Danio rerio: one gene and its partner. The protein of the gene in region 1 interacts with the protein of each later gene in a pairwise test. Links are inferred from orthologs where the notes say so. Each region holds a gene or a part of one and is shown in the gene's direction. Other genes may lie near its edges. The genes, in order: stx16 and vamp5.

Evidence for each region.
Region 2: the proteins of stx16 (region 1) and vamp5 interact in binary tests that used the Homo sapiens proteins (3 or more experiments, as listed by UniProt). The two-hybrid records come from large-scale screens. The link is inferred for Danio rerio from reciprocal best matches to the Homo sapiens genes STX16 and VAMP5.

What each region holds. Positions count from the first base shown.
Region 1 is NC_133181.1:52,355,908-52,360,459, forward strand, and holds the start of stx16 (syntaxin-16), read left to right. Parts: upstream 1-1,748; 5' UTR 1,749-2,080; coding exon 2,081-2,212; intron 2,213-2,323; exon of another isoform or gene 2,324-2,490; intron 2,491-4,552. UniProt on the Homo sapiens protein: SNARE involved in vesicular transport from the late endosomes to the trans-Golgi network.
Region 2 is NC_133180.1:28,903,891-28,908,301, forward strand, and holds the start of vamp5 (vesicle-associated membrane protein 5), read left to right. Parts: upstream 1-1,481; 5' UTR 1,482-1,662; coding exon 1,663-1,665; intron 1,666-4,411. UniProt on the Homo sapiens protein: May participate in trafficking events that are associated with myogenesis, such as myoblast fusion and/or GLUT4 trafficking.

The sequences.
Region 1 (4,552 bases):
ACAGTTATTCAAGAATCTGCCTAATAAAAATGTCCTAAGACAATAATGGGTTTGGTTTTGGTTTGATGTCAAACTACTGTAGGTTTTAGGTTGACTACAGCAGGTTTAGGCTACCTATATCAAGTAAAATGTCTCTTACTCAGGTTCTTTTAGCATGCAAAAGTCAAATTTAAGTATATAAAATACAGTTTCCAACAACAGAATTTTGTCTTGTGAAAATGACCAGTGGGGTGGTGAGAAAAAAGTTAATGGCAAGTTATATATATGAAGAAGTTGAACAAGTTGTCATAATATTTAATCATAATGCATTTTTCTATACATTTCCATTAGACTTTTTTTCTAAATCTAAAATTGGTAAATTACTCCCAGGTCAATCTGGACTTTTTCTAATAAAGGTGAGGTGCATCTGAAAAGAGATTGTGTCCTATGTTCACATTTCTACTTTAATTTTTTTTCTTTGTTCTATGCAGTGCTGTCTTTTCCTTTCTGTATCACAATGACATGATTTGGCAACAAATCACAGTACAAATCGCAATAAAATTAACTAAATTAGCCATATCAGAACATCCCTACAGAGTACAGTTATATTGACAACACGAGTAAGTCATTTGTCTTATCTGTACACAAGGACTTGTCATTCTGACGGCACTGACATATTGAGAGATGAACTAAAGATTTTAAGCAAGAGACTGGCTTTTGCGGGTAATCCATGCTGTTTTGCCATTTGTATGTGCTGTTTTGAGAAATGCACTTACTGTTTTGTAAATTTCAAAGTTCATGCAAAGACGAAAAGTCTGCGAAGACATAAATTTGTATTTTTATTTGCACATGTTCTTTTATAAAAAATAGTGTATACATAATTGGGTTTTACATTTTTTGGCTTAATAATTATTACTTTTTAGTCTACTCATTTTGATGTAACCATAATAGTACAAAAAAGAAGAGAGTCATGTATTTTAAAACAGATATTTATAAAAATCCAGTGGAATGGAACATCACAACCATGGTTTCTGCAGGTGTCAGTCACTATGTCAAATGTATGACTTTTTAAGTCTTTTTTTTAAAAAACACTTGTGAATTAAATTTTTACTACATGCTAAGGATGTTTTAATTGGTGTTACCAAACTTTTCAGCCCCCGAGCCCCAAAATAACAATGCCTGTGACTCGCGACCCCAATATTTCTCAGAGGTGGTTATAAATATACAAATGTTGCACACACAAAAACAGGCCTATAGTAACATGAGCATATTGCCAACATAAAAAGTGCAACAGTCTTAACAATCATAGGCTATAATTTAATAATCATTGATTCATTTGTTTAATTTAACATTAATCTCACCTCAATGAGCCTGGTTGACACCAGCACAAGTCTAATGGTTTAATGTTGAAGATCATCCTCAATGTTCAGTTGTGGCCTGTATTTATTTTTAATGTATTTGATTACCATAAAGGAGTCAGAAAGTTTAACCTGGTGCTATAAAATCAGTCTGTGTTGTTAATCTAACATACTATCTAATCTAATACATTATCCTATGACAAAATTAAAGGCTGATGGCTTTTTTTTTGCATGTTGTTGCTTTTTTAAATAATAAAATAAAATTCGAATGTAATTAATTCTTAAATATTACAAAACTGCTGTCGTCTAATAAAACTAAAAGGTTCATTAAGCTGCAAATATGAAAAGGTTAAGTATTTTAATACTGAATTCGATTTTTGCATATTCATTGTCCAAAGCGGAAGTTTCGGCGTGAGGTCACGTTACGTATTCCACGTCACGGAAGTCACAGACATGATCCATTTGCTCCCCAAACCGAGCGGAAAACTCGGGGTTTCGGCCTTGTAATGTTTTGGTACTTCACGGGATACAGACTCGGGACTGCGTTGGTCTAAAAAAGAGCCGAACTCTCTCGAGCTCGGAGGCGCTGGGTCAGTGGGCGAGCCTGCTGCTCGGTTTGCAGGCTAGCCCGCTAGTTCAGTAGCCGCAGCTGCCTTGGCGACGAGCTGAGTAACTAATCTAGAGACAGCCATCGAGGCAGCCCGCAGTTATTTCACTTTTCGCTCCCCTTTTATTGCATAGCCATGGCAACTCGGCGACTGACCGATGCCTTCTTATTAATGCGGAACAATGCAATCCAAAACCGGCAGATTTTGGCTGAGCAAGTGAGTACATACGACCCCCGTCGTACTCTGAATACACGTAGCAATGCTGCGGTGAGTCTAACGTTCATTGTCTGAATTGATTGTTTTGGCGTGTGTGGTTGTACGTGTGATTCAGAGAAAACAACTCTAGCTAGTTGTTCTTAGAAAACAACCCTAGCTAGTGATGTTTGTTGATGTCAACCGGCGCTGTCAGTTGTCCAACAAACCTCAACTTGTTTTGTTTGCTGTGAGAGGAGCTGGAAGGTGTGTGTGAACCTGCTAGCTGACCGTCAAACCAACGCATTTTGATTTACCTCAGCACACGAGAATGCCTTTGACTTGACTAAAAGGTGATGGTCGTGCTAGTTTAGATCATTGGTTCGTCTTTTAAAATATGACGCCCACTCCTTAAGTATACAGCTTATATGTTCGTGTATGAAGGCGCATGTATGTTTGTCTGGAGCTAAATAAGAATGTGGAGACGCTCTTTAACTGATTTATCTAGTACATATTATTGTATGATGATGTATGTTTACTTTTTAAAATTGAATTAAAATATTAATCATTAATGACCATTGTTAGAAAATACAGAACTGAATGGTGTACTCAAATTCAGTTTAAGCTACTGTTTAATGTTGATAGCATTTTGAAAAATTGATTTATTCCATGGTTAGAATTGCTTTAGTTTAATCCATCCTTGCTCAACGCAAGAATAAATACATTTTCATAAGTTCCTTAACTTTTCAACAGCAGTGAGTCATCGTGAGTTAAAATAGTTTTTCTTTGTGATCTAAAGCATACACATGAACTTTTCACATGCTTTCAATCACAGTAGCACGATATTGGGAAAATCTAACATTGCGATATTTTGTATTTTGTTACGTGAATACAGTTTTATTTGGAAAGAATTCCTCATTTTAGTTTAATTGGGGTGATTGGATCTCGAATAATGTGTAACAAATAACTTACAAGCTTAGGTAATCAAAATACAGCAAATATATAAGTGAATTCTAGTTTTCTGGAGAGTCTTAACAGTATTCAGGTACAGATAATTGAACAGTCAACATTGCATAGTCTTTATTCTATATAATGTAATCGTTAATAAATTTACAAACACTAACTTTTCTTGTGGCTGGATGTTTTAAACTCTGAAATGTTAAAAAGTTTACACAGTCAGAGGCTTTAAAGGCATAGTTCACCCAAAAATGAAAAAGTACTCATTACTTACCCTTTACTTGTTTCAAACGTGTAAGAGTTATTTATTGAGTTGCACGGTTTACTATGGTATTATCGCTATACTATGTCTCCAAAATACTGTCTGTGCCACTGTAGTTTGTAAACGGTAGTATCGTCATTTATGGTTTATCTACAATAGACAACGTTGCATGTGAAAAAGTCAATAAAACGCTTGCACGTTTGTGCAACAATAAACCATTTATTTTAATAGTCTGTAGAGCCCTTTAAGATTGCCAAACTGTGTCGAAAATGTGCCTTTTATGGTAGCCTGTTGCACGTTTCCTAACGCTTCAGTTTGAATAAACATTTAAATCGGTTCATTTCTGTTCCTATTAATATGATTAGCTACCACGACAATCTCTTTAAAAGAACGACTCACAAAATGAAATTTTGAAATACTTTGAGTTGTTTCCTGAGAGGACTAAAAACAAAGATGAAAAACCCAAAATAGCAACAGGAAACATTGAAACTATTTTTGACCACGTCATATAGCCTAATTTTGTTGGAAAAATGCTCTTTTGTAACAGATTTAATTTGGTATAATTTGTATCTTTATTTTAATGTGTTTTTGTTGGCCAGTTATCTACAAAATACACAAAAAGAATGAACAAACTTGAGGTGCAAATAATACTTTTTGGCCTTAAGGGAATTATGAATTACATTCAAGTAGGCCTATTATAACATAATATATAGTATTTCTGACAATTTCTATTTATTTTGAGTTATTAATTACAGTATCGCAATGCTACTTGGTATCGTGACACTTCAGCTGGTATAGTATCGTAAGATTAATTAATAATATCACCTAATAATAACCCTAGTTATTAAAATATTTTCTTTTCGTGTTCAACATAAAAAAGAAACACATAAACTTTTGAAAATAGTGATTAAAGGTACATTTTTGGGTGAACTATCTCTTTAAAGAGTCCATTATAATTCAACACTGCATTAATTATAATCAACTATTATTTCAACTCAACATTGAAGATCCTGAGATGTGACTATTGCGGATGCACACATTGCCACATCGATGCTGAAACGATATATTGTGCAGCCCTACTTTCATCGAATATACAGTCACTGTAAAATTTAGATTTGTTTACGTTTGTTATAACAAATGTTGCCGAATGTCATAGAAAGTAAAATGTATTAATTTTATTCCTACATTTTTACTTG
Region 2 (4,411 bases), on another chromosome or scaffold:
AAATCCCCTTTCGCTACTTGTCAATCAGACAACGCTTTTATGTTTGTTCTTGCTCTCAATTGATATATAAATATGATCGATAAGTGTCCTGATAAACAGCTGTAGTTTAACTGCTTTGTGGTGCCTTCACCTCCTCTTGCGAGTGGTCTCGCGCGGTTTGTGCCATGCATTGCAATAAATTAATAAGTTGTATATAAAATTAGCATTTCAAAACCCCTTAAATTTTGGCAACCTGCCAATGCCACTTTTTACCAAGCAGCATCTTCCCACTCTCCCTCAGGAAGCCAATATTTGGAAGTAACTAAAACTGCAATTCATCGACTCACCTTGGGGGGCTGGCTCCAGGAAGTACAGGTGATTTCTGACTGCAATGGTAAATTGGCCATTTTTTTCCCCCCCTTTATTTTCATGCCAAGAACAAATTTCATTAAGTTGGCCATTTTTACAGTTGATAAAATAAAAACATGTTTACACCCTGGTACAAAAGATGGCTTTGGTGCATATAGCTATGATTACCCTTCATGAGAGGGGTGAATTTTTTCGCAGACTATATTTGAAGTGTTTGAAATATTGAAATGTTGAAAAAGGCTTAGTGGCTCAATGTGTTACAATTGTATTTTTAAAAGTCTAAGTATTGATCTAGTATACAACCAAGCAAAAGGGTTAGCGTTAACCGTTAGGGTTAGGGTTAGGTTAGGTGTAGTAACGAGCAAACAAAGAAAACTAAGCACAAGGCAGAAGATATCATAGGTAAGATTGAGTTTTTTTTTTTAGTTTTTTAAAAAATTTTTATGATCTTTTTGTGCTAAAGTAATCTTACTGCAATCACCATAAGGCAAAGTAGCACCAACTCCCACTAAACACTAGGCTTCAGCTAGTTCTGTTGAATAAAATAAGCAAACAATGAATAAGAAATATGACAATGAGATGCTGCGCTGCCAGAAACTTATAGTCGGCTAGTGAACCAGTCGTTCATAACGGAGATTCATTCACAAACGAATCGCTCCCTCCGTCAGTATGAGAAGTGAAAGCAGGAGAGAAGGTGTGTTTCAGGCAGGGTGGATAGTACATTTCTGTACACACAAACAAGCTTTTTGTCAGGAACGCCAGTGCAATCACTGATCCATCAATGTACAAAAGTGATGTAAAATTATAATTTTCGTAATTAGAAAGAAAAATTACAAACTAACATCCAGGAAAACTCCCGATCATAGATATATGTGCATATGTGTATATCTTTGGCTTTGGATGGCCACAGTCCTCCACTGTACCTTGGGCAAGCATTCATTTCAAAGGAGCGCTACTCTGTTTCAATATGGCAGCTCTATTGACGCATTCCTTCTAATAGACAACAATAGGGTTTGGCGACATCTATATATCTATGCCCTGAGACCACGCTCAGACCTGCACTTCCAGACCTATCGTTTTCTCAGACAGTGCCACCTGCTGTTGGATTTGGTAAAAAGACATGTTGGTGCGATATGGGAGGCGCCTCGTGACAGCGCCAGCGCAGAAGAATAAAACTCTGGAGGAGCATTTTTTTGCGCATGAAGTTTGAAGATATCGAGCTTGTACTGTTTTCTCTTATCAGCTGCTAGTGCTCTTTCCGATGCAGTATATTCGGTGACAGTTTCTGGCGCATTTAACCCACAGATTGATACAATGGTAAGTTGTTTTGTTTTGAAACTTTAAAGTTTGTTTCGTTTTGCTGGTGATATTTTGAGGTTAGCTTTACAAATCAAGACCATTGAGGGCAAACGTTTTAGAAACAAAATGTGTAGCTCAAACCTGTATATGAGGGAAGTTTTCTGGATCTATAACACAAAAACGGTTAGATAAGAAGCTAATAAAAAGTGACGGCAAACGCCGCATAAAGTTGGTTTGACGTTGTTTATTGTTGTTACAAACAAGTGCAGTTCTGCCATGCTTAACGATCATTATGAAAGTGAAATCTATTTAGATTTTTGTTTCGACAGGCTATAGTAGGTTAGCTTTCAATTCGCTTTGTTAGAGATATGTGATAGTAAGTTGCTAGTATCGTTCTTATTGTTTGTGTCTGAATTTGAAACTGCCTTGTTCTTTTCAAAGTCATTTAAAAGTCATTCAAAAGGTCTTTAGCCTTTATTGTTGGTTTATTTCAGGTGTTTGTTGAAACACAAGAGAGGGGATTTTTTGCCTTGTCTCAAGGAAATTCCATATTCATTATAGCAGTCAAAACTAGAGAGGAAGGAAGGGAAGGAAGGAGGCAAAGAAAGGATGTAAAAAGAGATTTGTATCCTGCAGTTCTGGTTCAATGAAAATGGTGATGAAAAACTCAAACTCTACATATGTCTGAAAATGTAATTTTTTTGTTGTATTAAACACAAATACCTCTAAATTACATTTTAAAATGAAATAGAAACGTTGTCAGTAGTTTACAAAATAAGCCAAATAAAATAGATTTTGCTTAAAAAATATATATAATTCAGTTTTCCATATAATGTATTTCATGTTCATGTTACAAAATCCTCATTCTTTTAACTCTATTCATTCATTGTACACATCTAAAGAAAAATGGGTCACACTTTGCAATAAGTTTTCATTAATTAATATTAGTTGATGTGTTTATTAATATAAACTGACAATGAACAAAACATGTGCATCATTTATTATTCATAGTTCAAAATTTACTAAAACTTTATCAAGTAAATCTAAATTCATGCTTTTTAGCATTAGGTAATGCACCATAAGTTAACATAAGCTAACAAAGAACTGTATTTTCATTAACTAACGTTAACTAACGTGAACAACTACTGCAATGTACTGTTCATTGTTTGTTCATAATAGTAAATACATTAACTAACATTAACTAATTCAAACTTGTTGTAAAGGGTTACATAAATATAATAAAAATTAACATGTGGCTGTATAACCCATCATTATATTCACTTAAAATATATCACTCAAAAGAAGAAAGAAGACAACATCAACAACAAACAATCTTAGACTTAATCTTGTACCCAATTATACGGCTAGTTGCAATTTAATGTGCTATTTAAATTGTCATTTCCTTTTAGCATGTTTTTTAGTTTCCCCCTATTGTCCTATTAGACCAGATCTATCCAAGTGGTGCTCGCTGCAGAGCCATTTGAGGAGAGCTGAGCTCCAGCGAGGGGGAGCTTAAGCTTAAGCTCCACCTTTTTTGCACTTCTTCTATGAGTGATGTCACTGGGGGTAGGGTTAGGGGTGGGGTTGGTGTACGCATTAAAACGGCTTACAGGAGGAGGAGGAGGGACAGCTCATGCTCCCCCTCGCTGGAGCTCAGCTCTCCTCAAATGGCTCTGCAGCGAGCTATGAGCCATTTCAGGCTGTGACACACCAGTTGTGAACCACTGTTCCATTGTCTGTGGCTATTATGTGAGATGGTATGAATAATAAGTGGCGTTTCCTGTAAAATGAATAATTTCACTGATCTTTGTCTGACAGTTTCCCGTCAACCAAACCTTGACCTAAAGTCACTTACATCCTTCTGAGCACAAAGAGAGGAATTAACAGTCCGACTCAGCTGATATACAGATGACATGTCTACTGCTGTAGAGCATACTAATGTCAGGGAGGTCACAGTCCTATTTCATGGCGCTCAGCCATGCTGTTTTCACAAAGGCATCATTGTGGGTTTCGATGCAATAGCCTTTAGAGATTTCTCTGTCTCTCTCTGTTCCTTGTTAAACTGTAAGCGACATGGCACTCTTCCAGAATTCCATTCCTTATGCTTGTTGTAAACACAATTTTTAAGGCTGTTATAATGGGAGGCGTCCAGGAAGATTTCATCACTACTTTTTGTTTATAATGCTTTATTGGTTGCATTTCTCACACATTAAATATGTTGTACTGTGGTTCTTCTTTACCTTTTTGACCCCCAATCGACCAGATATTTTACAGCAATATATACAGTAAAAACTTCAAAACATTTCCAGTTTTTCCTGATTTACTGGATTAAGTTTGAAGATATATATACATATTTTTCTCACTATTTCCACCTGACAAAATATGATGGAGCTTGGTGTAATATTCCGTAGCTCTTTTATTTTTTTATTAATAGTTTGATTTTTATTTGGTCATTTTTTTGTCTATTACAGTATCAGTGTCTTTTAAATAAATATAATTTTATTTTATTTATTTAGTTTAGGCTAAAACAAAAATAACTGAGAAATACCTTCTCTGCAGTTATCCAACTAAAGTAAATATACTTTCTACAAAAAACACACTTTACATATACACACACACTTAAGCCGCTTTTCCACTATCGTGCTGAATCGTTCTTTAAACAGAACTGTTCCATTCCGTGCCAAACCGGGCCAGACAGCACGGATACGGTTTCATTTTCCACTGTCGTGCTGCGACAAAGCTCTTTAAAACATTACACAAAACG